Linked DNA regions of Lonchura striata. The protein of the gene in region 4 interacts with the protein of the main gene of each other region in a biochemical or structural test. Links are inferred from orthologs where the notes say so. Each region holds a gene or a part of one and is shown on either strand. Other genes may lie near its edges.

What was found.
Region 1: the proteins of KHDRBS1 (region 4) and RASA1 form a complex in vitro, tested with the Homo sapiens proteins (2 studies listed by BioGRID). The link is inferred for Lonchura striata from reciprocal best matches to the Homo sapiens genes KHDRBS1 and RASA1.
Region 2: the proteins of KHDRBS1 (region 4) and HCK interact in a biophysical measurement, tested with the Homo sapiens proteins (2 studies listed by BioGRID and IntAct, with this or other methods). The link is inferred for Lonchura striata from reciprocal best matches to the Homo sapiens genes KHDRBS1 and HCK.
Region 3: of the proteins of KHDRBS1 (region 4) and PRMT1, one has a biochemical effect on the other in vitro, tested with the Homo sapiens proteins (2 studies listed by BioGRID). The link is inferred for Lonchura striata from reciprocal best matches to the Homo sapiens genes KHDRBS1 and PRMT1.

The regions. Positions count from the first base shown.
Region 1 is NC_134642.1:53,185,085-53,192,997, reverse strand, and holds the start of RASA1 (ras GTPase-activating protein 1), read right to left. Parts: upstream 3,007-7,913; 5' UTR 2,891-3,006; coding exon 2,502-2,890; intron 1-2,501. UniProt on the Homo sapiens protein: Inhibitory regulator of the Ras-cyclic AMP pathway. Stimulates the GTPase of normal but not oncogenic Ras p21; this stimulation may be further increased in the presence of NCK1.
Region 2 is NC_134619.1:7,650,025-7,657,163, reverse strand, and holds the start of HCK (tyrosine-protein kinase HCK), read right to left. Parts: upstream 3,012-7,139; 5' UTR 2,900-3,011; coding exon 2,771-2,899; intron 2,370-2,770; coding exon 2,327-2,369; intron 2,064-2,326; coding exon 1,964-2,063; intron 1,814-1,963; coding exon 1,715-1,813; intron 1,574-1,714; coding exon 1,470-1,573; intron 1,087-1,469; coding exon 937-1,086; intron 635-936; coding exon 482-634; intron 176-481; coding exon 1-175. Other genes in the region: CCM2L (cerebral cavernous malformations 2 protein-like), read right to left, coding at 6,098-6,375, 6,578-6,716, 6,900-7,047. UniProt on the Homo sapiens protein: Non-receptor tyrosine-protein kinase found in hematopoietic cells that transmits signals from cell surface receptors and plays an important role in the regulation of innate immune responses, including neutrophil, monocyte, macrophage and mast cell functions, phagocytosis, cell survival and proliferation, cell adhesion and migration.
Region 3 is NC_134640.1:2,740,175-2,747,340, forward strand, and holds the start of PRMT1 (protein arginine N-methyltransferase 1), read right to left. Parts: upstream 3,016-7,166; 5' UTR 2,995-3,015; coding exon 2,965-2,994; intron 1,487-2,964; coding exon 1,433-1,486; intron 1-1,432. Other genes in the region: DNA polymerase delta catalytic subunit, read right to left, coding at 3,565-3,661, 5,028-5,125, 5,953-6,005, 6,885-6,998. UniProt on the Homo sapiens protein: Arginine methyltransferase that methylates (mono and asymmetric dimethylation) the guanidino nitrogens of arginyl residues present in proteins such as ESR1, histone H2, H3 and H4, FMR1, ILF3, HNRNPA1, HNRNPD, NFATC2IP, SUPT5H, TAF15, EWS, HABP4, SERBP1, RBM15, FOXO1, CHTOP, MAP3K5/ASK1, MICU1 and NPRL2.
Region 4 is NC_134628.1:1,138,627-1,146,137, forward strand, and holds the start of KHDRBS1 (KH domain-containing, RNA-binding, signal transduction-associated protein 1), read right to left. Parts: upstream 3,020-7,511; 5' UTR 2,940-3,019; coding exon 2,657-2,939; intron 1-2,656. UniProt on the Homo sapiens protein: Recruited and tyrosine phosphorylated by several receptor systems, for example the T-cell, leptin and insulin receptors. Once phosphorylated, functions as an adapter protein in signal transduction cascades by binding to SH2 and SH3 domain-containing proteins.

The DNA.
Region 1 (7,913 bases), on a different chromosome or scaffold from region 4:
CAGCTTGCCACCTTGAACATTCATGTGAAGATATCAGAATTTAACTCTATGATCAGGCAGGAAAAGTCTACTTTAATGCAATCCCTTCTTATTTAGTATTCCTCTACCTTTCTTCACCTTCAGTGCTTTTTCTTACTATGCTGCCTGAACAAGCTCCAAGAGCGACTGTAAAAATATGTATCTGCTCTGGGCAAGATTTGTTTTAATCAGACAGCATTTTTGACAGTCTATTTCATTTTGTGTGGTTGATCACTTTCAGATTTCAACTGATTTCCATTTCAAATTAATAAGCACTGCTCAAAAAATACTGTATGAAAATGCCAGTTTTGCTGCAATACTAGAACAGCTCTTGCCACATTAATGCAATGTTAGGACAGAAAATAATTTTGTCAACTAAGATTTTAAGTCAAATACATAACAATCAGCATTCATTTATTCATTAAATCCAAAGGCATTTTCTTAAGCTATTTGCACCTCTGTCACTGAGCTCTGCAAATGGGGCAGAAAGCAGGGAAAAAATTACCTAAAACAGTTGCCCACTTTATTCCCTAGTATCCTGTGCGTCCCACCTACCATTAATCTGCAATATAAACACACCACTGCTGTGCTACATAAAAATGAAAACTCCCCGCCACACTTGAATAGACAAGCCTCATGTTAGTTTCACTCTAGGTCAGAGATTTAAAAAATCAACCCTACTGGGGGATTCTGAGTTTGCTAATAAAGAGAAGGTCTTATATGTTAATATCCTCCCATGGTTTGAATATTAAAGAATACACACTAAAAGAACACATATTCCCCAAACCTCCCTGAGCAAACTATATTACAACATCCTTATGCGAACTGCAGAACCTGCAGGTGCTTCATTTCCCATCTCTTCATACTAGTCACTGTGAAAGCCAGATGGCCAACTTTACACTATTTAAAAGTATACTCATGTTTAAAAAAGCACTTCTTAACATCTTTACAGCCTAAAAATTAGAAGACGAGGAATTCATACTGTATTTGGTTTGTGTTCGAGCTTTTTTGTTTGCTTTGGGCTTTTTTTTTTAATTTGCAAAACAAGCTCAGAGAAGCTTGTTATAGAAGCTATTACAATTTTATGTCCTACTTAAAAGGACAATGGCTCCTGAAATCCTAAGAGTATGTAACGTAATGCTGAAGTTAACTCTGTCAGTCAAGTTATGACAGAATATAAGGAATGAACCCAAAATTTCACAGATTTTTAGGTTAACTTTCTGACCTATCTATATATATCTCTTTAAATACAAATGTATGTTACTCCCTAAATTATCCACTATACTTGTAAGAACTACAAGAACAACATATTTATAGAAATTATACTAATGAAAAAATGTAAGCCTCTGAACCATTTCATTTTGGGGAGAATATGATAAGGAAATGGAAGAAAAGATTTATTCTCTATTCTAATACACACCTTGGAAATGCTTTGAGTAAACCTGTAAATCTTCTACAGTGAAATCCAAAGGCTGTGTTTAGAGTACTTACTAATTTCATGGATTCTCTATAACATTACCCGATCTTATATTTCACACAACTTCAACAAAGAACTAGTCTGCCTCTAGTGGAAGATTCTATTACTACCACTAAAGGAATCTAAATTAACCTGATGTACGGATAAATACAATAAAACCTAACTATAAGTTTACAGTTTATTCCAAATGTCTCCTCTCTCCAAGCACAACCTATATAAAAACAACTCTAAATTGGTTGAGCAGCAAGGTAGTTAAAACATTTATAAAAATACCAATCGGTTAACACTTTTAAAATTAAGAAATTATTTTAATTCCTTTTAAATCCATGATGCGAGAATTGAACTGCCTGAATTTTTAAAAAGATCGAACATGTGGACATTACTTTGGTTGATTATATATAAATTCGAAAAGGTAAGTTATCTTTTTTTTTTCAGCAGAAAGCAATACAATACAAAATGATGACATGGTAAATAAAGTCTTTTATGCCATGGATTTTTTTTTTCTATTTACTATTTATTTGTTTTTCTTTAGAAATTAAGGTTATGACTCTACTGTGAAGGGGATACCAGTGACTGGAAAAGTCTCCCCAACAGGTAGTTTAAACCACAAGCAGAATACCTCACTCTTCCTGGCAGCCTCTGCAGTACTGCTATGAAAACTTGCAAAAAACTAACTCAGTCGCCCTTTTCCCGTAAGCTGATCCCACTCAGTACAGGAGGACCAGCTCCCCGTGAAGGGGAAGGAGTCCAACCTCCCTGCTGCTGCCGCTCACTCTCCCGACTTTCGGGTGGGCTGCGCTCCGCAGACTACGGGCAGTGTCCCCGCGAAGCAAACTTCCTGCTGGAACGGAACCAGAGGAGGGAGGGAAGGTGACGAGGTGGGACGCAAAGCTCCTGCGAGACTTCCAGCCGAGTTTGACATACACTTTTCTCGGCTAGCGGTGGGGGGTCGACAGCACGGTACCCACTCCCCACAATGACTGAGGCGGGGGCGGTGGGTACTCACTGATTGGTGGGGGGCGCGTTGAGCGGAATGGCCACCTCTTCTTCCTCGTACTCCGGTCCGTCCAGTGAGTCTCCCTCGTCCACTGTCCCCAGCCCCCCAGCCAGCGGGGGCGGTGGTGGCGGCGGCGGCAGCGGGGGGAAGCCTAGATCGGCAGCCCCAGCGGTCGCTGGAGGGGCTGGCCCCGCGCCCAGCTCCAGCAGCCCCAGAACCGAGCACAAATCCGGCCCGCCTGGGGGGCCGCCGCCGACAAGGAAGAGGCTTTGCGGCTCCGGCGCCCGGCCACGGCACAAGGCGGGGCAGTGCCCCAGCTCTCCTGCTGCGGCGGCTCCCGCCGTCCCGGCGACAGCGCCCGAGACTCCCTCCTCACCCGTGGCCTCGGCCGCCATCATGTTGAGCCTCGCCAACGGCCTCACGCCGGGGAGGAGGCGACAAAGGGGCTCTGGGCCCCTGCCCCCAGCGCGCCTCCCCCCGACGCGGCAGGCAGCGGACTCGGGAGGCGGCTGAGTCTTCCCGGCGGAGACGGGCCGGGAACAATGCCCGGCTGGGCGGGGGCTGGACCGCTCCACAGGGCCCCGCGCGGCTGCCTCGGTCCGCGACCGCCCCAGGGAAGCGCCGCCCTCCTGGGGAGCTCCGCGCTTGCGCGGCACCTCTGCGCCTGCGCGGGCGGTACAGCGCCGGCCGGGCGCAGATAGCTGCGGATAGCTACGGTTATGCGGTCTAGGGAAATAAAGGGCTCGTTCCGCGGTCGAGTGGGTGGGAACGTGCGGGGGTAGGGTCGGATTCACTAGCTCAGCCCAACATAAGTACTGTAACTCTGGACCCGTATGATCCAGTGCCAGATCCGGAAGCCTTTTGAACACCTCCAGGGATGATGACTTCATTATCTCCCTAGGCAACGTGTTCCAATGCCTGACCACCCTAACAGTGAAGAAAAGCTATTGGGCGTCTTCCAGCTCAGCTTATTCTGTATGATTCTGTATAATCTGAATCTCTTCCGTCTCAGTTTGAAGCCATTTCCCCTGATCCTGCCACTGCAGATACAGTAGAAGAAACCAGTCCCTACCTCTCTATGCCCTTCCTTCAAGTATTGATAGAACAAGTGGAAACGGTTTTGTCAAGGGGACATTAGACTGGATGTTAGGAAAAAATATTTTATTGAAAGGGTGGACAAGCACTGGAACAGGCTCCTGGGGCAGCACCTGTCAGTGTTAGGTTCATGGTTAGATTTGATATGGGTAGTATTTACCAACCTTAATGACTTTGATTCAATTCTAACTATGGATTTTAAAAATACATCCTGGTGGTACCGTTTACCTTGTAAGAACTGTGACTAAGAGTCTGCTTTACTCTGTACTTCTCTGAAACTGTATTTTTGTCATGTTACTCAAGCTTGCAAACTCTCAATCCCACCTTAAGCAAATCTATACCTAAACTTCACTATCAACCATTTTTCTCCCTAAAGTGGGTTTCTTTCATACATCAGCTTCACTTCATACCTCTGGGATCAAGAAGACATCATGTGATGGCCCTTACCCGGCAGTACAGTATGTAGCTATCTTCAGATTTTTTTGTTTTTTTCCTCCCAGTGCTAAAAGAGCTGACAAATAGCAGCACGTTTACACTTGCATGCTTCTCTGCAGTTCTCAAAAAGCATCTAAACATTCAGGTTTTCAAAGCTTTGTGTTACCCAAAAGTATTAAGTTAATTTTTCCTGAGGCAATTAGAACAATCTACTGCTCCCACTTTCACAGCTCTCAAGCTCTTTTTATCTGCTGAAATTGTTTCATATCTTTCCTTCTGAGGGCAAACTCTGCTTCCAATTTACACTACTAAGACTGAAACAGAGATTTTTAGAGTTCTCTTGAGTTAACAAAATTAATTGAGCATTTAAATTTTAGCTTGTGGAATTATGTGTTGAATATTAACCTTTTACTTAAAAAACCTCTGCCATGGTACAAAGGCCATAAGAAAATGCAAATTTCTGAAGCTTCTTACATAAAGAACAATACCAAAGAATGCAAAGAACCCAGATAAAGAAGCTGCTCTTTCTCCAAGCTTATCAAGACTGATAGACGTACTCAGATAAGCACCAAAAGACTGACAGAGCACGTGCAAAGGAGAAAAATTCAATCATGAGGAAGACCACAATCTTCAGCCTCAGGACCACCGAGAGACCCCTGTGTGACCACCACAGCAAACCACACATGCCTAGAAGGGTGTAGATTTATTTAGCATGAAAGGAGAGGACAAGCGGGGCCAGGGGTTAAATATGCATTAAAAAGTTGCATATAGAACACCTTTGTAAATAAAAGTTTGAGTCAGATTAAGGCTCGATGCACAAGTCTTGGAGAACAATCTCACTTGTGCCTGGTGCTGACAATACGTACCCACTTCATAACTTCCCCAAGTTGTGTAGTCTATTTATTTATTCCACATATCATTTCAAGACATGTGGAATTATGCTGGGTTTGTGCCTAGGGTCACAGTGAAAAGAGAAGCTGGCTCTAGCCCTCAGTCTACACCATTGTAATATACCCATATATTGCTGTTTTTCTGCAGTATTACCATTCTGAAATTGTTAATTTCAAGGAATATTGTAGGCTGCTCTCCCTGTTGCTTTCCCTTTTACTGCTTCTTGCTTCCCTCACAGATTTCAAAACAAAATAATTTTATCCTTGTTACTCTAGTAGTAGCAATAAGCCTAAATATAGAAATGCAGTGTAAATATTTAAAATATTCCCTTTATGAGGCAGGTTTTCTAAGTGCCTTTCAGGGCAGCAGTATGTGTGTGGAGGCGTGGGAATTAGAAGGACAGCTGTACTAAGAATTTTATTCAGGAGAGGGTAATGTGTCTACAATGCTCTTTCAAGAGATTTGTTTTGGTGAGAACAGTTTTAAATTTGAAAAGGACTCTGCAGAGAAAGAGCTCCTAGTAATATCAGCTGAGCACCCAACACACCTTTTCTGTTCACTTTGCAGGCAAAGTTGCCATCCTGAGTTATTTGGTGCTAGAGGTTCTACACGTCAACCTGTGTCACTTCTTAAACCTTTGAAGCTGACTGCCTCTTTAGAATCATGAAATATCTCGGATTGGAAGTGATCTATAAGGATCATTGAGTCCAACTCCCTGCCCCACTCAGTACTACTCAAAAGTACAGCTACAAGCCTTTATTGGACTTTTTTATAAATCGATGTATTTGGATGAAGGGGCAAGTTGTTATAAATGCATTTTCCAATTTATTAATTAAAGAAAATTCATTAAATGGTCCAAATTTAAATTTAGAGAAGAACAATGAAAAGCCCCTCTCAAAAAAAAGGGTCAGTGCTGAGCCCAGGTATCAGTACTGGGTGAGACACAGGTTTGACTGCTAACAGCAGAGGGTCCCCTATGCTTCACACTGACTGTCCTGTCTGAGCAATTTTTATACGGTTTTTCTTGCCCGAGGCAGAGTCCCTTTTCTTCCTTTTCAGACTGCACATATTCATGTGGAGTCTATGTGGCAAGTTGAACAAAACATGTCCAGAGAGTGATGAACACCCATGACCATGTTCCCAGAATTCAGTATTGAGATGTATCACCCTGATGGCTCTGGCTATCTCAATCTCAGATATTTATCGCATATTCATCATCCAGGTAGACCACCTTGATGGATGATTCATCTCTGGGCTGGCCACATTCATTTGATTGTAAATGAAGTCCTCCCTCCTTTTTCCAGGTGGTTTTGACAATGTGTTACAATCCCTGTCACTGACTTGTGCATTTTAAAAATTTCTTATAAGAGTATATATTAACAGTACATAATTATAAAATATATGACAATTTTATTTGCACAAATTATCATATACACATATAATAAAGTATAACAATATTTTTCTTGATACTTCTTGAGCTTCTGCAAATATGTCTTATTCTGAAATCTCTGGTATACATGACACTAGGATAGTCAGTCCTTCATCCCTGCTATGTCAGAATGGTATCAGGCTAGATTCCCTGAAAAGTACATTTCCATGTTGCCTAGTTTGAGCTAATATAATAGTACATATTTCAAGAACAGTGGCAGGGCAGGCAGGTATATGCCTGATTAGGAGCTCAGGTATTCAGGCTGGGTTTGTCACTGATTTATATGGCATTTGGCAAGTAATTTGAGCAAAGTTATTCTTTCTCCATCAGTAAAGTAACAAGCTATTTCACAGATATGTCAGAGAATCAATTGGGATTTTTTACAAAATTTGACAGCTGTTAGACACCCTAATTATTAGGGTGAAAAGCCACATAAAGTGTGACACAATATTTCAGTTATTAAAAGGGAAAGTGTTACTTTTATAGTAAATACAAATACCACAAAACATTCCCTTCCAGTCCTTATTTCCTGCCTCCCTCTTCTGCCTGAGCACACTTTATTTCCACCTTTCTAAAGTTTTATCCCATTTCAGAAATCAATATCATCAGAAGAATTTTCAGTCTTTCTGTCATAGGACACAGTGTTAAGAAAGCAGCTTTCCTGTAATGAAGAACCTGGAATGATCCAACTACTCCAGTTCTTCCCCTTCTACTCCCACAAGTGTAAAAAAAACAGTTACAGAGTGTTGCTTCTTTCTGCCTGCATAGCTGTAATGCTACATGTATTTCTTTTCTGCTTTTCATACACTTTCCATGTTAGCAAGGAAGTTGTGGGTGCATGGGGCTGGGAGGAGACACAACCAGGACAGGTGACCCCAACTGACTAAAGGGGTATTCCGGACCATGTGACATCATAATCAATATATAAAATAGAGATAAGAAAGAGGAGAAGTGAGAACATTTGGAGTGATGACATTTTTTTCCCAAGTCACCATTACATGTGATGGGGCCCTCTCTGCTGGAAGTGGCTGAACAACTGTGCTCCCTTGGAAAGCAGTGGATTGATTTCTTGTTTTGCTTGTGGGCATGGGTTTTGCTTTCCCTCTTAAACTGTATCTCAGCCCATGAGTTTTCTGGCTTTTACAATTTAATTTCTCTCCATAGTCCTACTGGTGGGGCAGTAAGCAAGCAGGTCTCTATAGCTTGGTTTCTGCCTGGGCTTTTAAACCATGACACCCTGTCAATCCAACACCTCTTTAACTGTAGTAGTATATAAAAAAGTGCTACATGATTGCTCTGTCAGTCTTTCTTAGTGTCTGTGATCCATTCTGTAAAATCCATATTATTATTGTCTGTGTTTAAATGCAAGAGAAACCTTACTATTTATATTTATGTATATTTATTATTTATGGCTTCATAAAAAGCATGTTTGCATTCTCCCATGAGCCTGTATATACTGACTCCAAATATAGATACACTGAACAATGATGTAATGTTTTAAGCAACACTAAAATTATCCTCAACTTTGGAAGCTGATTTGTTAGTTACTGAGTTTTTTCTGTAAAAAGGAA
Region 2 (7,139 bases), on a different chromosome or scaffold from region 4:
ATGAATTCAGTGATGATGAAGATGGGCTCCTCCCTGGTGACCACGGCGTGCAGCTTCACCAGCTTGTCGTGCTGCAGTGTCTTCATCAGGTTTGCCTCCTCCAGGAAGGCTTCCACGGACATGCTGCCCGGCTTCATCGTCTTCACCGCCACCTTGGTGTGCTTGTTGTAGGTAGCTGGGGGTGCCACAACAGATCATTCCCACCCTGCCCTGCGAGCACTGAGCTTTGGAGCCAAAGTCCCAGCCCTGCAGACACAGCTGCTGTGGGAAGGTTGGAGGCCACACACAGCCCAAGGCTGTCCCCACCTGCCCAGCCCCAACCAGCCCCTGCATTAAGGCAGGGTCACTTCCATGTCCCTCTGCTTCTCTCCCTCCTTGTCTTTCCCACCCCACCATCCCTCTGCCTTCTCACACATCCCTCACCCTTCCTCCTCCACCGTCACCTTCATCATCCTCCCTGCCACCTCCCCCTCTCTCTCACCCATCCACACTTCTCCGAACTGCCCGGCTCCCAGCTTCCTCTCCAGACTCAGTGACTCCCGAGGGATCTCCCAGGCATCTTTCTCCCAGGGCTTCTCTGGTTTGGGTACACGGCAGGGGTGGGTGAGCTTCTGGCACAGCCCATCACTCTGACCTGAGGAGAGCATCCAGGGCCATCAGCCAGCCTGTCTCACTGGCCACACTGTGCTTCACGGGGGACTTCTGGCCACCATGGGCGTTCAAGGACACCAGCACCACAGCTGTGACAGCCAGCAGGCCAGCCATGGCAATAGGGGGAGGTCTGGAAGTCACTGCATGTTGCAGTCAGAGCCGCAGCAGGAGCCCAGGGGTGATGGGCAGGAGCCCCTCAGCCTCTGCACACCCCCAGCTGCCTGACTGCTTGGCTCAGGGACAAAGCTCCATTTGGGAAGGGCGGCCAAGCACCCCAGGGCTCACCTTTGTAGTGCTGGACCAGCTCCTGCAGCGTGTTGAAGTTGTTCCGTGGGGAGATGTAGAAGCCACCGCTGTCCAGAGTGCGGATCTTGTAGTGCTTCACTGCCCCGCCCCGCAGCTCGTCCCCGTCCCGCACCGAGAGCGAGTAAGAGCCTGGGCAGGGAGGGCTGAGCTGGCATCTCCCACGGGAGCACATTCCTGCTGCACCTGGCCATCCTGGCACGCACAGAGCCATCGCCCAGCAGAGCCAGCAGCACCCATCCCACGCTGCTGCCACCACCCCTTCAGCCACCAAACACCCAAAGCAGCCTCAAAGGGACACATCCCCCTGTCCCTGCCGTGGGATTCAGACATGTGGCAGTGCCACAGGCTATGGCAGGGGCACTTCCAGCCAGGGCATGGGCCTCCCAGTCCCTCCCTGCAGCACAGAAGATCCCCAGGGCTGGGGAAGGAGCTCCTCTTCCAGGCCAAGGTGGATGAGGGAAGCCCTTTGGGCAGCTGTTCCCCACCACTGTGCTATGGACACCTCTCCACACCTTTCGTTGTCTCGCTGTCCCTTATCATGAAGGACCCAATCATGTTCCCAGGGCCAAGGAGCTGCCGCTCCGCGTCCTTCCGGCTGATGTCCTTGAAAAACCACCTGCAGCAGAACCAAATGATCCAAGGAATGCTGGAGTGGGTCAGGGCTGGGGGCAGGACATGAGGCAGGAGCGGGAACAGCGGCAGTGGGGAAGTGTGGGACAGCATGGAGCCAGGATCTGGCATGCAGGGATGGACTCACTCCTCTGTCTCCAGCGAGTTTTCTTGGGCAACGTAGTTGCTTGGGATGAAGCCTTCACATCCTGTCACCAGCGACCGTGCTTGCCACCATTCCCCTGACCTATGACAGAAGTGGCATTGGGCTGGCTCCTGGCACCTGGACCTGGGCACCAGCAGGGTGCTCCTCCAGGGCAAATTCCAGAAAAAAATCCCAACAGGGCCACACAAGCCATCAGGAGACTGTGGACAGGAGGCTGCCAGCAGCACTTACTTCTCCAGGATCTTCATCCTCTCCCCCTTCTGGAAGCTGAGGTCCCCAGCGTTCATCGCCTCGTAGTCGTAGAGTGCCAGCACCACGCTGTCCCCCAGGCCTGCAGCAAGGGAGGTCCCTGGGCACCCCTCCCCATGCTGGGATGGGGTGCCTGGCCACTCCTGCCATGAACACTGGCCAGGACATTGCCAGGACCCCTACAGCACCCAGCACCTCCATCTTCATCATGTCACATCTGGCCCTTCAGGGAAACCCTGAGCTCCCATCCCTCCAAGATGTTCACCCTAGCTCAGAGAGGATTGGGCCACACTGCCCCCACACACTCCAACCCCCTGCACCCACTTGCAGCCCCTTTGTACCTACCAGCCTCAGGCAGGGACACAGCCATGCTGGGGACATGATTGTTCTGGAAAGTGCAACAAGACCACAGAGTGACATCACAGGTGGCAGAGACCCGTTTCCCATGGTGGGTCTTGGCCCCAACAGCAATGGCAGGAGCAGGAGGGCACCCGAGGGGCAGCACCAGCACCACCTGACACGACAACCCAGCCAGCACCAGCATCTCCACCCCCTCCCAACACCTTCATTTTTCTCTCTCTTTCTCCATAATTCCTGCATTCCCATCAGGTCCACTCTGTGCTTTGTCTCAGTGTGGCCTGGGCTCCCACCCAATAGCCAAGTCCCTGTCCCGGGGCATGGGCACTGCCAATGCCCTCAGCCGGCTCCACTCTCAGCGTTGGCGGCACTGCTGAGAAGAGGGGCTGAACCCCCTGTGACAGCTCAGCCCTGAAATCTCTCATCACTCACCCGCTTGTTGGTGGCTGTGGGGTCCCTCACATAGTGGCCCTGCTGGATGGTGGGGCCAGGATCAGGACCAGGATCAGTTTTTATCATCTTCTCTTGGACACCGGCTTTCTTTGACTTCACACAACCCATGCTGCTGCCAAGGAAGGGGAAGTGAGGCCATTGCAACAGAGGTGAAAGCCCCACTCCAACCCCAGTCCAGCCCTGTTCCCATCAGCTCCCACCCAGCACAGGGCCCCAGAGCCCAACCCAGTGCTCTGCTGGGACAGAGAAACTTTGCTCCTCCCAAGCTTCAGGGTACTGGGGTGCCCAGGGACACTCCAGAGGAAAAAGGATCTCCTGGAGATGTCATAGCAGGTAAAGTTTGGGGAGACACCAGCAGCAGCCACGGAGCAGCTTCCCTGCCCTTGTGGGATGCAGGACAAGGTGCAGGCACTGGGCACCATGGCAGCAGAGAGTCACACTCAGAATCTTCTGCAAAGAGGGGCCCTGATCCTGGTGAGCTTTGCTGCAGCTTGGGGGTCCCCACAGAGCACCCCTGGTGCCCATGGCCCCCACCACCACCACAGGCCACCACTCCACACTGTGCTCCCCTGATCTCTGCTGGGTGGGAGCTGCCCCAAACATCCAGTCCGGGGCAATGACAAATGCTCAACTTTCTCCAGCACCCCAAGAAATTCAGTGGAAAAAAAAGCTGCAAGAAGCAGCAAGAGTGGTAAACCCCTTGCAAATGTACTTCCCTTGGCCAGGGGGACCTGGGTGCAGAGAAAGCAGAAGGTGCTGGTGGTCACAGTGAAGGAGGAAGCTCAGGGCTGAACCCTCGATGTGCATAGCACAGCTCTTGAGGAACATCACTGTCACATAACACACCATGGTCACTCCTGGTCTTTCCAAAGCCTGGGCCAGCCTTGCTCCCAAGGGCAGAGCAGGAGCAGCCACGACAGCTCATCTCCCTCACTGGGCACAGCCTGGGGACTGTGCCAGATCCATCCTGGCAAACGCACTGGGGCCCAGCTTAAACTCAGACATGGCTCACACCATCACCACTGCAGGTATTTGCTGTTCCCGTCCCACACCGCCTCAGCGCATCCAGCCCTACAGAGCACAATCACCCGGGGCAGTCCAAGGGTCATTCCCACTGGCTCCTGTGGCATAGCTGGCATTCCTGATGTGTCCCACCCTGGAGAACCAGGTCCCAAGGCTCATGCGCTGTCCCCAGCCATGAGGACCAGGTTGGATGAGGATGCCCTTCGTTCCCAGAGCAAGGATGCCCGCAGCCCCCTGCCCTTGCTGCCCTTGCCCGTGCCTTCGGTCCCCGACAGCCCCTGCAAAGCCACCGGCAGGGACCCCTCGTCGGAGCTACACTGTGTCCAACCGGGGCTGCACCGGGACCCGTGAGATTCCCGGCCATCGCCTCATCCCGGGCACCCGGGGTCCGCCGCTCTGACCGCGACCGGCCCGGGGGGGGTCGGACCTTCCGGGCTGCCCGGGACTGGCGGCGGGGCTCCCTCGCCGCCCTCGGAGCTCCGCGCACGGCTCCGACCCTTCTCACCTTCGCTGCGCCCCGAGGCACGTCCCCGTGGCCGGTCCCGCTGCCAGTCCCGTCGCGGAGCCCCGGCTGCCGCTGCCGCTCCGCTCTGCCCGGTGCTCTCCCGCCGCCCGCCCGGTGCGGCCCCGCCCCTCCCGGTGCGGCCCCGCCCCTCCCGGTGCGGCCCCGCCCCTCCCGGTGCGGCCCCGCCCCTCCCGGTGCGGCCCCGCCCCTCCCGGTGCGGCCCCGCCCCTCCCGGTGCGGCCCCGCCCCTCCCGGTGCGGCCCCGCCCCCGACTCCGACTGGGAGGGTGCGGCCGGTGCCTCCTCTGCGGCGCTGGGAACGGGGATCAGCATCCCACAAATCGCACCAGCAAGGACATCCCAGCTTTGGGTGACCCCATTGCCTTTAGGGACCCCCGAGGGGTGCCAGAGCCCGTCTGTCCATCCGCCGTCCCCGGGACACCGGACGAGTTTGGGTCCCGCTCCCCAGAGCAGCCCCTAGGATGTTTCCCCGCCTGGTGCAGGGTCACGGAGAGCGGGGGGCACGGGGGGAGCACAGGACCCGGAGTCAGCCCGGTTTTCTGTCCCAAGAAGGAGAAAAGAAAGCCCTGAGCATCCGTGGTGGGGTGCAGGACATGAGGGCATCCAGGACACACTGGGGTGCATGGGACTGGCTTTGTGAAGCACAGCTCAGAGAGGTCCGGGTGTCCCTGCGCTTTGTGGTGTCCCTGCTGGCCCTGGTATTCCCGTGCCAAAGCTCCTACCCAGCCCGGCATGTTCCAGCTTTTCTCCTGGATTGCCCGGACAACCCCTGAATTCGGGATGGAGGCAGCATCAGCAAGGGGACCCACGGCTCTGTGTGACCCTGACCATGGGCTGCTCGCGTTCAGAGGAAGCAGCCGGGGTGGGAGAGCGTCCCACCCCAGGAGGGTTTGCATATGTAAATTTTTTTTGGTAGAAAAAATAAATTGCTCCGATAACCCCAGCGTCTGCTGCCCACAGAGCGCCCTGGAGCTGCAGCGCCGAACCCCGGTCCCCACCAAGGGACATTGGGCCAGGGAATGTTGGCTCGGGGCCATCAGCCACGGGCCAGCAGCCGTGGGATATTGGGGTACAGTGGCCAGGGGGAATCGGCTCGGGGACGGTGGCCAGGGAACATCAGCTGAGGTCCACCGGGGGCCGGGGAGCACGGCCCCGTCCCTCGGCGGCGGAGGGGCTGCAGGGCGGGACTGCAGGAAGCTGGTCCGGGGCAGGAACTTCCTTTTGTGAAACACCCGCAGCCCGCTGCCGGACGAGTCTCGCACAGGCCTCGCAGGCAGCAGAGGGCCAGCTGCAGCCACCAGCCCTTTCCTCTCGCAGCACATTCCCGCTGACCCCCTCCATTGCTCTGAGCATCCCCTGGAGCCAGCCAGGAACAGCACCCTGACATGGTGGTGACCTCCAGGTGACACTGGAGTGGGCAGGTGCTCAGCCCAGCCCAGCCCAGCCCAGCCCAGCAGTCCCCTGCCCCAGCTCACCCCCATACTGCAGCAACCGCTGCAGAAGAAACTGCTCTGCTCCACTCCCAGTCCCAGCATTTAATTGAAATTTGCAGAAATTACAGCACATGTGTCTCTCCCACAGCCATGGCTACCCTGTGATTCCAACAGCCTTGACAATAGCTGGCAGGGCAGTGCAGAGGCCTGTCCCCTCCCATGGTGACAAATTCACCCCCCCTGGTTCTGGGGCAGAGCTGGGCACCTGCTGAGTCTGGTCCTGGAGGTGCAGCACCACACCAACGAGCTGGGTTTTGGCACTGGCTCACAGGTAGTTGTCCTCTTCCTCCTCCTCCTCTTCCTCATCGCGTGCCAGCGCCTCGATGTCGTGGGTGATGTCCGTGATCATGCGGTTGAAGGACTCGGACTCGGAGCGCAGGGACCAGCTGTCGTAGCTGCGCACGGCCGAGGCCGACGTGTTGCTCATGCTGCGCTTGATGCGGCCGAAGCTGTCGGTGAGGATCCCACCCTCCCGGATCCCGATGCTCTCCAGGAAGGTCTCAAAGTACCCGATGTCTTGGTCAGGGATGAAGGGCCTCATTCCTGTCATAGGCACCGTAAGCCTCGGGAGGCTGCCCAGCTGGGCAGTACTGGGGTGCAAGGCCAGCCCTACTGGTTTGTCCCATCCTGCCCCAGCAAGCAACAGGGTCCTGACATCCCCTGAAGCACACCCAGCACCAGCCTCATGGCCCCAAGGGATGCACAGACATCACCAGGGTGACACAGAGTGGCTGCAGACACTCACCCAGGAGGAGGAACTTCCTGCGGTCCCCGTAGAGGCGCAGGAGCTCCGTGCAGTATTCCTGCACCGGCGTGCCCAGACGGTACTCGCGGAGCAGGATGGCAAACTGCTGGATCTCCTGTGGTGACAACTTGTTGCGCAGCTGTGGTGACACAGGGACAGGTTTGGGCTTTGGGACACCAGCTGCACACAGCCCCCAGCCCCCTGCCCTGTGTTCTGCTGCTGCTTTCTGGCACAGGGAGCCCACACCTGCCTCCTGCCCCTGCCCCAGCTGCTGGCACTGCTTTCCTGCTGCTTGTCCCTGTGCCCATCCCTGTGCCCTCACCGTCACCATGTAGTCCTGCAGCTGCTCCAGTCCTGTGCCACTCTGGTCACTGCCACTGCAGGCAGTGGCCAGGCTGTGGTGGGAGCGGTGGAAGGAGGGCGAGGAGGTGCCACTATAATACGCTTCAAAGGTCTCGTGGGAGCCATTGCTGTGGGAGGACACGGATGAGTGGGTCCCTGCACCCCTCATGTGCTCTGCTGCCCCCCACCCACTGCACAGCACCCACCATCAGGTAGGGCT
Region 3 (7,166 bases), on a different chromosome or scaffold from region 4:
TGGGGCTGCATTTGGGTTTTCTTTTCCCCAGAATTTCACTTTATCCCCCAGAATTTTGGTTTTTCCCCGGATTTTGGGGCAGAATTTGGGTTTTTCCCAGATTTTGGGCTGTTTTGGGGCAGAATTTGGATTTTTCCTGGATTTTGGGGTTTTTTGGGGCAGAATTTGGGTTTTCCCGGATTTTGGGGTTTTCTGGGGCAGAATTTGGGTTTTTCCCGGATTTTGGGGTGTTTTGGGGCAGAATTTGGCTTTTCCCCGGATTTCGGGTTTTTTTTGGGGCAGAATTTGGATTTTTCCCGGGTTTTGGGGCAGAATTTGGGTTTTTCCCGTATTTTGGGGTTTTCTGGGGCAGAATTTGGGTTTTTCCCAGATTTTGGGGCAGAATTTGGGTTTTTCCCGGATTTTGGGGTTTTTGGGGGCAGAATTTGGGTTTTTCCTGGATTTTGAGGCAGAATTTGGGTTTTTCCCGGGTTTTGGGGCAGAATTTGGGTTTTTCCCGGATTTTGGGGGTTTTTGGGGCAGAATTTGGGTTTTTCCCGGATTTTGGGGGTTTTTGGGGCAGAATTTGGGTTTTTTCTGGGTTTTGGGGCAGAATTTGGGTTTTTCCCGGATTTTGGGGTTTTTTGGGGGCAGAATTTGGGTTTTCCCCGGATTTCGGGTTTTTTTTGGGGCAGAATTTGGATTTTTCCCGGATTTTGGGGCAGAATTTGGGTTTTTCCTGGATTTCAGGTTTTTTTTGGGGCAGAATTTGGGTTTTTCCCGGATTTTGGGTGTTTTTTGGGGCAGAATTTGGGTTTTTCCCAGATTTTGGGGCAGAATTCGGGTTTTTCCCGGGTTTTGGGGCAGAATTTGGGTTCTTCCCGGATTTTGGGGGTGTTTTGGGGCAGAATTTGGATTTTTCCCGGATTTTGGGGTTTTTGGGGGCAGAATTTGGGTTTTTCCTGGATTTTGGGGGTTTTTGGGCTGGATTGGGGATTTTTCCCCCCAGAATTTCAGGATTTTTCCCGGATTTTGGGACTGGATGTTTATTTTTCCCAGATTTTGGGGTTTTTTTTGGGGCAGAATTTGGGTTTTTCCCGGATTTCGGGGTTTTTTTGGGGCAGAATTTGGGTTTTTCCCAGATTTTGGGGCAGAATTTGGGTTTTTCCCGGATTTTGGGGGTGTTTTGGGGCAGAATTTGGGTTTTTCCCGGGTTTTGGGGCAGAATTTGGATTTTTCCTGGATTTTGGGTGTTTTTTAGGGCAGAATTTGGGTTTTTCCCAGATTTTGGGGCAGAATTTGGGTTTTTCCCGGGTTTTGGGGCAGAATTTGGGTTCTTCCCGGATTTTGGGGTTTTTTTGGGGCAGAATTTGGGTTTTTCCCGGATTTTGGGGTTTTTTGGGGCAGAATTTGGGTTTTTCCCGGATTTTGGGGGTTTTTGGGGAATATTTACTTCCTCCCGAGGCGGCCGCAGGCTCATCCCGTTAGCCAGGGTGGCTACAAAATTCTGGGGAAAGAGGAACGAGAGACGTCACCGGGCACCCCAAAACCGGCCGGGCACCCCAAAATTGGGGTGGGCACCCCAAAATCGGCGTGGGGGGAGCCTAAAAATGGGGTGAATGACCCCAAAAATGGGTTGGGGGTCCCTAAAAAAGGGGTGGGAGGTCCCTAAATTGGGGTTGGAGAGCCTAAAATGGGGCTGGGGGACCCTAAAATGGGGTGGGGGGTCACAAGCCCAATTTTTGGGGGTCACGATCCCATTTTTGGGGGGCAGAGGGGATATAGGGGCTCAAGACCCCAAATTTTGGTGGTTTAGGGGGGTCAGGACCAAAATTTGGGGCGACTTTGAGGAAGGGGAGGACTGAAACCCCAAATTTTGGGGGTCAGAGGAGATTTGGGGGGGTTACAACCCAGATTTTGGGGGTCCCTGGAAACCTGGGGGGGTCCCAGACCCAAAATTTTGGGGTCCCTGGGAATTTTGGGGTCCCAGACCCAAAATTTTGGGGTCCCTGGGAATTTGCTCCTGTGTCCCCCCCCAGTCACGACAAAACACCCCCAACCTCATTAAACCCCCTCAAGTTAATTAAGCCCCCCAAAACCTCATTAAAATCCCCCAAACGTCACTAAAAACCCCAAAATCTCACTCAAAACCTCATTAAAATCCCCCAAAATTTCATAAAAACCCCAAAAATTTCATAAAAACCCCCAAATCCTCAGTAAAAACCCCAAAACCTTACTAAAAACCCCAAATCCTCACTAAAACCCCAAAATCTCATTAAAACCCCCAAAATCTCACTAAAACCCCCCAGAATTTCATTAAAAAAAACAAAATCTCACTAAAACCCCCAAAATCTCACTAAAATCCCCCAGAATTTCATAAAAAAACTCAAAATCTCACTAAAATCCCCGAAATCTCACTGAAACCCCCAAAATCTCACTAAAACCCCCAAAATTTCATAAAAACCCAAAATCTTACTAAAACCCCCAGAATCTCACTAAAACCCCCAAAATCTATCTAAAACCCCCAAAATCTCACTAATATCCCCAAAATCTCACTAAAACCCCCAAATTCTCACTAAAATCCCCCAGAATTTCATTTAAAACCCCGAGATTTCATTTAAACCCCCAAAATTTCATTAAAATCCTCCAAAATTCCATAAAAAACCCCAGGCCTCACTGAAATCCCTCAGAGCCCCTCAGAGACTCACAAATCCCCTCAAAACCCCTCAGAGCCCCAAAAATCCCCTCAGAGCCCCAAAAATCCCCTCAGAACCTCAAAAATCCCCTCAGAGCCCCTCAGAGCTCCCCCCATCCCCTCAGAGCAATTCAAACCCCCCCCAATCCCCTCAGAGCCCCTCAGAGCCGCCCCAATCCCCTCAGAGCCGCCCCCCGCCATCGCCGAGCCCCCCCAGCGCCCTCCCCGCCCGCCCGGGCCCGCTCTGCCCTCAGGCCCGGCGTTTCCCGCGCCGCCGCCGCCGCTCTCACCTCCATGGTGCAATTGGCCGCCTCCGCCATCTTGTGAGCGCCAGCGGCGGCCCTCAGCGCCGCGGCCTTTTATAGCGGGGGCGGGGCCGCCGCCGGCCCCCTCGCGCGCCTCCCCATTGGCCGCCGCTTCCCGCTCGCCGCGTGATGATTGGGCGGCGCCCACGCCCATCAGGCTTAGCCCACGCCCCGCAGCGCTGATTGGGCGGGGGGGTTGTCAGTCATGGGTGAAAGCGAGGCCACGCCCGCGGGTCGGCGCGGCGGGGCGGTTCTGCGCGCTGATTGGGCGGGGGAGGTGTCAATCAGCAAGCCACGCCTCCCGCGCAGCGCCGCCTAGCGGCCGCAGCGATCAATGCAAATTCCTCCTGAAAACACCAAAAAATCCCAAAAACCCAAAAAAATCCCCAAAAAACTCCAAAAAACCCCCCCCAAAATTATTAAAAAACCCATAAAACCTCAAAAAACCGATAGAGAACCACACGGAATCACTAGAAACTCGCTCTTTATTAAACTTCCCATACAAAAAGCCGGGGCTGGGGGGGTGAGTGGGCCCCGAAAATCCCAAATTTTGGGGTTTTGGGGCGGATTTGGGGGATTTTGGGGTCACCAGTCGGGCTCCCCGAAGCGCCGGAGCAGCTCCTGCTGCGCCTCCAGGTCCTTCTGCACCTTGCGGCGCATGTAGAAAATGGGGCAGTCCCGGCTGCGGGGATTTTGGGGGGATTTTAGGGGATTTTGGGGTTTTGGGGGGATTTTGGGGGGATTTTAGGGGATTTTGGGAGTTTTTTGGGGATTTTGGGGGTTTTTGGGGATTTTGGGGGGTTTCAGGATTGGGGGGATTCGGGGGATATTGTGACATTTGGGGATTTGGGAGCATTTGGGGATTTTGGGAGATTCAGGGGATATTGGGCGGATTTGGAGGATTTTGGGGGATTTGGGGATTTTTGGGGTTTTTTGGATATTTCAGGATTGGGGGAGTTTGGGGGATTTTGGGGGGTTTTGAGACATTTGGGGATTTGAGGGGATTTGGGGACATTTGGGGACACTTGGGGATTTGGGGAGATTTGGGGAGATTTGGGGATTTTGGGGGATTGGGCGGTTTTGGGACATTTGGGGATTTTGGGGATTTTTGGGACATTTGGGGATTTTGGGGATTTTTGGGACATTTGGGGATTTTGGGGTTTTTTGGGACATTTGGGAATTTTGGGGTTTTTTGGGACATTTCAGGACTGGGGGACATTTTGGTACCTTTGGGGATTTGGGTTTTTTGGGGGGAGTTTGGGGGATTTTGGGGGATTTGGGGATTTGGGGACATTTGGGGTTTTTGAGGGGATTTGGGGGATTTTGGGGGATTTGGGGACATTTGGGTTTTTTTGGGGGATTTGGGGGATTTTGGGGGGATTTGGGGACATTTGGGTTTTTTGGGGGGATTTGGGGGGATTTGGGGACTTTGGGACATTTCAGGACTGGGCGGGTTTGGGGGATTTTAGGAGGATTTGGGGATTTTGGGACATTTGGGGGTGACTGAGGGGACCTGAGTGAGGTGACACAGGTGACACAGGTGAGACACACAGAGGGTTCAGGTGACACAGGTGACACAGGTGTGACACACAGAGGGTTCAGGTGACACAGGTGACACACAGGTGTGACACAGGGATGGTGACACAGGTGACAGGTGTGACACACAGGTGACACAGGTGTGGCATGGGGATAATGACAGGTGACACACAGGTGTGACACAGGTGACACAGACAGGGCTCAGGTGACACAGGTGACACAGGTGACACACAGGTGACACAGGAGGTGACACACAGGTGACAGGAGGTGACACACAGGTGACACACAGGTGACACAGGTGACACAGGTGACCCAGGTGAGGTGACACAGGTGGTGACACAGGTGACAGGTGTGACACACAGGTGACACACAGGTGACACACAGGTGCCACACAGGTGACACAGGAGGTGACCCAGGTGGCACAGGTGTGACACAGGTGACACAGGTGACACACAGGTGACAGGTGTGACACACAGGTGCCCCAGGTGCCCCTCAGGTGTGCCCAGGTGTACCTGGAGCAGAGCACGTCCTGCAGCAGGGAGCCCTGGCACCGCTGGCACTGGCTCCAGAGCCGGGCGAAGCTGCGCTCCAGCTGCCACACCTGGCTCACCTGAGCAACACCCCAAAATATCCCCAAAATATCCAAAATATCCCCAAAACATCCCAAAATATTCCAAACACATCCAGCTGCCACACCTGGCTCACCTGAGCAACATCCCATAATAACCCCCAAAATATCCCAAAATATCCCCAAAATATCCCAAACACATCCAGCTGCCACACCTGGCTCACCTGAGAAACATCCCAAAATATCCAAAATATCCAAAATATCCCAAAATATCCCAAAATATCCAAAATATCCCAAAATATCCCAAAATATCCAAAATATCCAAAATATCCCCAAAATATCCTCAAAACATCCCAAAATATCCCCAAAATATCCAAAATCCCTCCAGCTGCCACACCTGGCTCACCTGAGAAACATCCCATAATAACCCCAAAATATCCCAAAATATCCCCAAAATATCCCCAAAACCCCTCCAGCTGCCACACCTGGCTCACCTGAGAAACATCCCATAATAACCCCAAAATATCCCCAACCCATCCACCCAAAATTTGGGTCCCCCAAAACCAAAACCCCAAATTCGGGAGCCCAAAATCCCAAATTCAAAACCGCAAAACCCCCAAAATCTCAAATTTAAAACCCCAAAACCCCCCAAACCCCAAATTCGGGACCAAAACCACAAAATCCCAACTTTAAACCCCCAAAATCCCAAATTTAAACCCCCAAAATCCCAAATTTAAACCCCCAAATCCCAAATTTAACCCCCAAAATCCCAATTTTAACCCCAAAATCCCAAATTTTAACCCCAAAATCCCAATTTTAACCCCAAAACCCCAAATTTAACCCCAAATTTCGGACCCAGCCCCCCCCACCTCTTTCTGGTAGAGCTCGGACTCCCTCTGGCGGCAGAAATCGCAAACTGCACCTGCGGATTTTGGGTCCATTTTGGGTGAATTTGGGGCTCCGGGACCCCAAATTTTTGGGCAGGATGGGTTAAATTATGGAGGTATTAATTAGTTATTAACGATTTAAATTATAATTTTTTGTTAATTTGGGGAAGGGACTTGACTTTGGGGATTTTGGGGCTCCAGCCCCCCCAGTTTTGGGGATGTTTGTGCTGAATTTTGGGAATTTTGGGGGTCCTGGACCCCCATTTTGGGGAAAAGGGATTAATTTCGGGGATGGGAAATTTCGGGTCGGGGTCGTTAATTAGGGTTGGGGTCGTTAATTAGGGGCGGGGTTGTTAATTAGGCTTGGTTAACTTGGCGAGGGGGCTTTAATTATGAGGATCCCCTTTTTTGAGGTGGAATTTCGGGGATTTTGGCCATTCTGGACCCGTTTATTTTGGTAAAACCAGGTTAATTCCAGCCGGAGGGGATTAATTAGAGTTAATTAGCGCAGGGCCCGTTAATTAGGGCAGGCATTCTGGTGATTAATTTGGGGAGGGGGCTTCAATTCCCAGAATCCCATTTTTCGAGGTCGAATTTTGGGGATTTTGGCCATTCTGGACCCGTTTTTTTTTGGTAAAACCAGGTTTATTCCAGCTGGAGGGGATTAATTAGAGTTAATTAGGGCAGGGCCCGTTAATTAGAGCAGGGCCCATTAATTAGGGCAGGCATTCTGGTAATTAATTTGAGGAGGGGGCTCCATTCCGAGTATCCCCTTTTTTCAGGTTCAGTTTTGGGGATTTTGACCGTTTCTGACCCGTTTTTTTTTGCAAAACCGGGTGAATTCCACCCCGAGGTGACTAATTAGGGGTTAATTAGTGCGGGGGCTAATTAACTGGTTAATGAGGGGGTCTCACCGTGGTGGGGCAGCAGGGCCCGGCAGCCGATGCAGCTGCTGCGCTTGGAGGTGAAGGCCGAGAGCGCCCCGGAGCGGGCGGTCAGGAGGGTCTTGCAGCGGGTGTGCTCCCCCTCTGCGGGGAAATTCGGGCTCAGGGACCCCCAAAATCCCCCAAAATCCCCCAAAATCCCCCCAAAAATCCCCCAAAATCCCCCCAAAAATCCCGGAGTCACAGGGAGCCCCAAAACCTCCCAAAATCCCCCCAAAAATCCATCCCAGAACACCCAAAATCCCCCCGGAC
Region 4 (7,511 bases):
GGATTTTCTTGTTCCTATGCAAAAGGAAGGTCATACAGACACCAAATCCCAGGAGGGAAACAAGGATTATATTTGAAAATGCAAGAAATCCCAGTTTTCAGTTTTTCTTCCTTTCCATACCAGAGTCAATGGAATCGATAAGAATCTCATCACTGCCAGCAAAAAAAAAAAGAGACAATTTCCTCTAGAAATACAGAACCACCAAATATTTTAGACAACTTTAAGATGTTTCTAAAGAAATGAATGCAGAATTCCAGCAGGGCTCCCTCCCCGAGGCAGGCAGCCTGAGCAACTTCCACTTCTGGGAAGGAAAAAAAGGCTGGAATTAGAATCCTGCTGACCCTCAGGATGGGTTCTGTGTCTGGAAATCATTTTGCTGGAGTTGTGCATCACGGCTTTGGCCCAGAGTGAAATTCCAAATAAACCAGAGCACCCTGGGGGTCATCCAGGCAAAAAAAAAATCACCTAAACCCACCATTTTACCTCCAATTCTTTCTTGTTTTACTGCTCTGCTCACCCTGAACTGGGACTGGGAATGCTACCCCCAAAAAAAATTCAAAATACCCACAGCTGGAGCTGCTGCAATTTTACATCCCCCAAAGCTGCAGTCATTAAAATAATAAATTAATGAATAAAAAGCCCTCCCTACACTCTCGTCACACCCCTCAGGTGAAGGAGGCTCTGCAGGATGTGGGAATTTGCAAATTCCCTGGGTTTCCTTTGGCTGGGAGGCGCCACAGCCGAGCTGGGTGAAGGATTTTATTAATCAAACCCATGAAACCGATGGAAAATCGGATTACAAACCCATTTATTTAGCTCCAGATGCTGGTGGGTGATGCTGTAATGGGTTGTTTGCACAAAGGGAGAGAAGCAATTCCCAAGAATTATTCCCTGCATAAAATGAGCTCCTAAAACCTCCAGAGCTGCAGCAAAACTCTGCATTTTTAAGCACAGAGAAAAAGAAATATTTAAGAAAAAAAGCAGGTGAAGAAATAAATAATTTAAAAAATTCCAATTAAGAAATTTAAATTGTTAATTCAAATAACTTAAATAAATAATAATTAAATAAATTACCATTGGCTAAATGACCATTAAAATTATTATAAAATGTAATAAAATAAAATTTAATAATTTCATTAATTAGAATAATTCTAAAAGTCTAATAAATAATCTTTAAATCCCAATAAAAATTATAATAGATACGATAATGAATATAGTGATAAATTTAATTATATATATTATAATAAATAGAATGATATAATAATAAATATAATAAATAGAGCTATAAATATTATAAATATTATAATATGGTAATAAATAATTATAAATAAAAGTATAAATATTATAAATATAATAATATAATGATAAATGTAATAAATATAATGATAAGCATATTAACATAACAACAGTAAATATAATGATAAAAATATAATAATTTAACAATCTTAAAAGCAGGTGGAAAAAAAATAATTAAAAATAAAGAACAAAATAGAATAATAAATATATAATAAAAAATAACTAAAAAAGCACCAATGGAGATGTCATCCGAGCAATCCTCCCGATTTGCCCACAGAAATCCCCCTGATTTCTGGGACACAGCTCCTTTTCTTCCAGCTATTTTTAGGGATTTTTATGGGACTCGCATTACCGACAGCCTGAGACTTGTCAGCAAAGGAGAGGAGCTGTCCCCAAAGCAGGTCACCAGAGGGACATTCCAGGCCCGGGACTGTCCCCTGGGATTGTCACTCCCACCCTGAAACCTGGAAGGAGCTCGGGGATGAGGTGATGAACTGGGCATCGCTTGAACATCGCAATTATCATCAGCAGATTTCCTATTACCACCAGGTTTTCCTTCAATTCTTAAACTTAAATATTATTTAAAAAAATAAATACCGCCACGTTTTATTTCGACTATTAAACTTATATTTAAAAAGTATTTCAAAAATTATTTCATTTAAAATGATTTAAAAAAATTATTTCCTTTCAGTTAGCTCAAGGGTTTTGATTCTCTTGATTCTCCTTTTATTTCAGTTATCTCAAGGATTTTGATTCTCTTGATTCTCCTTTTATTTCAGTTATCTCAAGGATTTTGATTCTCCTTTTATTTCAGTTATCTCAAGGATTTTGATTCTCTTGATTCTCCTTTAATTTCAGTTACCTCAATGATTTTGATTCTCCTTTCATTTCATTTATCTCAAGGCTTTTGATTCTCTTGATTCCCTTTAATTTCAGTTACCTCAATGATTTTGATTCTCTTGATTCTCTCTTTATTTCATTTATCTCAAGGCTTTTGATTCTCTTGATTCTCCTTTAATTTCAGTTATCTCAAGGGTTTTGATTCTCGATTCTCCTTTAATTTCAGTTATCTCAAGGGTTTTGATTCTCTTGATTCTCCTTTTATTTCAGTTATCTCAAGGCTTTTGATTCTCTTGATTCTCCTGTCATTTCGGTCATCTCAAGGCTTTTGATTCTCCTGTCTGGCCGAGGCCACACCACGAAAGCTCACACAATGCAACCTAACACAACCACCAATAAAACACCCACAAAACTCTCGCTTTACACGTGGAAATAACCTTGCGATTCCACATAGAAATATCTCATTCCCAGCCCTCAGAACGGCCACCGGGACCCGCTCTCCCCGCCGCGTTCCCGGTACCTGCGGTGAGGAGCTGCATGGCGTGCGTGAAGGACGGGTCCAGGCTGTCCTTCTCGGCCATCAGCTCGGGCAGGTACTTGTTCTCAGGCTCCATCTTGCCTCCAACCATACCGGATCCCCCCGGCCCCGATGTCCCACCGACCACGCTCACACCGGGCGGCGGCGGCTGCGCTGCGGCCCCGCGGGCCCCTCCGCCACCACGGGGCGGCCGGCGCGGCGCTGCGCGGCCACCGGGGCCTTGTCCCCGAGATAAACGACCGCTGGGGTCGTCACGGCGCTGCATGAGGCGGTGCCGCGGAAGGGAACGCGGGGCCGGGCCGGCGAGAGCGGCGGGAGCGGAGCGGCCACACCGCCCGCGCAGCGGCCGGGCCGGAACTGCCGCGGCGGAAGCGCCCGGCGCGAGCGTGAGGGGAGCCGCGGGAGCGCGCCGCGCATGCGCCGGCGCCGGGCGGGAGTGGCGCGGAGGGAGCGAGCGGGGTTTGTGGGGGTTGTGTGTGTGTGTGTGTGTATGTGTCTGTGTCTGCGTCTCTGTGTGTTTGTGTGTGTCTGTATGTTTATGTGTATAAGCGTGTCTGTGTTTGTGTGTGTGGGGGGGGTCTCTGTGAGTGTGAGGGGAGCCGCCGCGGGAGCGCGCCGCGCATGCGCCTGCGCCGGGCGGGAATGGCGCGGAGGGAGCGACTGCGGGCTGTGTGTGGGTGTTTTGTGTGTGTGTGTGTGTGTCTGTCTGTCTGTGTCTATGTGTGTGTGTGTGTGTGTGTGTGTGTGTGTGTGTGAGGGGGGTGCGTGTGAGGGGAGGGATGCGTGTGTGAGGGGAACGGCCGCGGGAGCGCGCCGCGCATGCGCCTGCACCGGGCGGGAATGGCGCGGAGGGAGCGAGCGGGGTTTGTGTGGTAGGTGTGTGTGTGTGTGTGTGTGTGTGTGTCTGTGTCTGTGTGTGTCTGTGTGTGTGTATGTTTGTGTGTGAGTGTGTCTCTGTGTGTATCTCCGTGTGTGAGGGGGAATCGCCGCGGGAGCGCTCCGCGCATGCGCCGGGCGCCACCCGCGCCCCCCTCAGGAATGGCGCGGGGCCGGTGGCGGGGTTGGAATCGGGGTGATGGAGACTGGGAATGGTGGATGTGGAGAGTAACTCATCCAGCCCTTCGTGGAGACAGGGAATGATGGAGACTGGGAATGGTGGATGTGGGGAGAGAGTAACTCATCCCATCCGTTGTGGAGGCAGGGAGTGGTGGATGTGAGGAGGGAGTAACTCATCCAGTCCGTCATGGAAGCAGGGAATGGAGGCAGGGAATGATGGAGGCATGGACTTGTGGATGTGGAGAAAGCAACTCATCCAGTCTGTCATGGAAGTGGGGAATGATGGAGACAGGGAATGGTGGATGTGAAGAGAGTAACTCATCCAGTCCTTTGTGGAACCGGCGGCATGGAGGCAGGGAATTGTGGATATGGGGAGAGAGTAACTCATCCAGTCCGTCTTGGAAGTGGGGAACGATGGAGGCAAGGAATGGTGGATGTGGGGAGAGTAACTCATCCAGTCTGTCCTGGAACCAGTGGCGTGGAGGCAGGGAATCATGGATGTGAGGAGAGAGTAATTCATCGATTCCATTGTGGAAGTGGGGAACGATGGAGGCAGGGAATGGTGGATGTGGAGAAAGTAACTCATCCAGTCCTTCGTGGAATTAGAGGTGATGGAGGCAGGGAATCATGGATGTGAGGAGAGAGTAACTCATCCAGTCCCTCATGGAAGTGGGGCATGATGGAGACAGGGAATGTTGGATGTGGGGACAGAGTAACTCATCCATTTTACCTGTGATCCTGCTTCTAATGTGCCCACTGCCTTTGTGCTTCCTATACGTAATGCCACTGTTTATGTGACCCACCCCATCATCGCACTAGAATTAAATCATAAGAAAACCCCTCAGAGCATAGAGTGTGGGCACGAAAGCTGAATGAAAAGTGGCAAACAGCAAACTTAGAATCCTGTGTTGCTAAGGAGCAACTAGGATTCCTTTGTGAAGGCAATAACATTAATGCTCAAGATGCGTGTCTCGGCACTGAACAAAGTATTTGCCACTTTGAAATCCATCCAGTCACTCCCGTCGTGGGAGCAGGGGGTGATGGAGGCAGGGAATGGTGGATGTGAGGAGAGTAACTCCAAGTTTTGTATTAATTCCCTTAAGTAGTGTGCTAAATACAGTTTTAGGTTCCCAACATAATGTTAAAATAGAGACTATGTATGTGGGGGAAGGTTTTTTTTTTTTTTTAGGAATGAGATACTCGCTTTGAGGAACACCTAAATCTTCCAAAGAAAAGGAATTTATGAGTTTTGTATCAGAAGAAGCGAATTTCTTCAGGCCTTGCTCAGACTCCAAGACACCGTGGGGATTAATGGAATTAGTTGACATACAACAGTTTCTTGTTTTAAATAGAATGTATACATAACCATGAGGGATATATGAATATGCAACAGGCTGTTGCTTTTAAGGTTATTCCTTTGTTCACAAGGGATGCTTTTTGTGACTTAAGTGTCCAAGAACATCCAGACATCCGTAATTCTTTGCTTTTTATTGTCTTGCAATTGTCCTAACTCTAAACTTTATTGCTCTAATTGTATTACTATTTTTATAACCATTTCATTATTATTAAACTTAAAATTTGAAAAACCAAGTGATTGGCGTTTTTCACAATTATCAGAGTTTATGTGACTCCGGTTATGACTTTGCAGAGCCATTAAAGCCAGCGAAGAGGCACTGAGCAGCTTCTCTGGGTATTTTGAGGGACAAAGGTTTGCTGGTTCCTTTTTTCTCACCCTCACTTTTGCCCCTTCGTGGATTATTCAGCCGGGAATGCCGTGCTCCAGCCGGGAGCGCCGTTCTCCAGCTGGGATCGCCGTGCCCCAGCTGGTGTTTCCCCGTGTGTTCTTGACCACGGAACCGGTTCCTCGATCCTGATCCTCGATTCCCAATCCTGATCCTGATCCCCAGTCTGCGATCCTGGTTCCCGGTCCCCGATCCTGATCCCAGTCCCCGATTCCCGATCCCGGCCTCCGGTCCCGATCCTGGTCCCCGATCCCAACCCTAGTCCACGTTTCTGATCCTGGTCCCCGGTCCCCGTGCCAATCCCGGTCCCCCATCCCAGTCCTGATCCTGATACTTGGTCCCTGGTCCTGATCCTGGTGCCCGGTCCCCGTCCCAATCCCGGTCACTGATTCCCGATCCCGGTCCCTGATTCCCGATCCTGGTCCCCGATCCCAGTCCCGATCCTGATCCTCGGTCCCTGATCCCGATCCCCGGTTTCCGATCCTGGTCCTCAGTCCCCGTCCCAGTCCCGGTCCCCAATCCTGATCCTGGTTCCCGGTCCCGATCCCAATCCCCATCCTGGTCCTTGGTCCCCGGTCCCGATCCCGGTCCGCATCCCCGATCCCGATTGCCGATCCCGGTCCTTGGTCCCCGATCCCGGATCCCAATCCCGCTCCCGGATCCCGATCTGTCCCTGATTCCCGATCCCAGTCCCCGTTCCCGGTCCTTGGTCCCCGGTCCCGATTCCCGGTCTCCGATTCCCGCTCCCGAGCCCCGTTCCCGGTCCTTGGTCCCCGGTCCCGGATCCCGGTCTCCGATTCCCGCTTCCGGTCCCCGATCCCGAGCCCCGTTCCCGGTCCTTGGTCCCCGGTCCCCGATCCCGAGCCCCGTTCCCGGTCCTTGGTCCCCGGTCCCGGTCCCGGTCACCGATCCCGGTCCCGATTCCCGCTCCCGGTCCCCGATTCCCGCTCCCGGTCCCCGATCCCGAGCCCCGTTCCCGGTCCTTGGTCCCCGGTCCCCGATTCCCGCTCCCAGTCCCCGATCCCGAGCCCCGTTCCCGGTCCCCGGTCCCCGATCCCGAGCCCCGTTCCCGCTCCCGGTCCCCGATCCCGAGCCCCGTTCCCGGTCCTTGGTCCCCGGTCCCCGATTCCCGCTCCCGGTCCCCGATCCCGATTCCCGCTCCCGGTCCCCGATCCCGAGCCCCGTTCCCGGTCCTTGGTCCCCGATCCCGGTCCCGATTCCCGCTCCCGGTCCCCGGTCCCGGTACCCGATTCCCGCTCCCGGCCCTTGGTCCCCGGTCGTGCTCCCGATTCCCGCTCCCAGTCCCTGTTCCCGGTCCCGATTCCCGGTCTCCGATTCCCGCTCCCGAGCCCCGTTCCCGGTCCTTGGTCCCCGGTCCCGGATCCCGGTCTCCGATTCCCGCTTCCGGTCCCCGATCCCGAGCCCCGTTCCCGGTCCTTGGTCCCCGGTCCCCGATCCCGAGCCCCGTTCCCGGTCCTTGGTCCCCGGTCCCGGTCCCGGTCACCGATCCCGGTCCCGATTCCCGCTCCCGGTCCCCGATTCCCGCTCCCGGTCCCCGATCCCGAGCCCCGTTCCCGGTCCTTGGTCCCCGGTCCCCGATTCCCGCTCCCAGTCCCCGATCCCGAGCCCCGTTCCCGGTCCCCGGTCCCCGATCCCGAGCCCCGTTCCCGCTCCCGGTCCCCGATCCCGAGCCCCGTTCCCGGTCCTTGGTCCCCGGTCCCCGATTCCCGCTCCCGGTCCCCGATCCCGATTCCCGCTCCCGGTCCCCGATCCCGAGCCCCGTTCCCGGTCCTTGGTCCCCGATCCCGGTCCCGATTCCCGCTCCCGGTCCCCGATCCCGGTCCCGATTCCCGCTCCCGCTCCCGCCGCGGGCTCGGGGCAGCGGAAGCCGCGGGAACCCCCGGGCGGGCCGAACCACTGAGCGCGGTGGGGAGGAGCGGGCTGTACCACTGCGCTAGCGGGGGGGGAGAGATGCTGGCGTGGAAGGCTCCGTGTGCACGTGCGGCCAGAGGGCCGGTCCAAGTGCGGGGGGGGCCGGG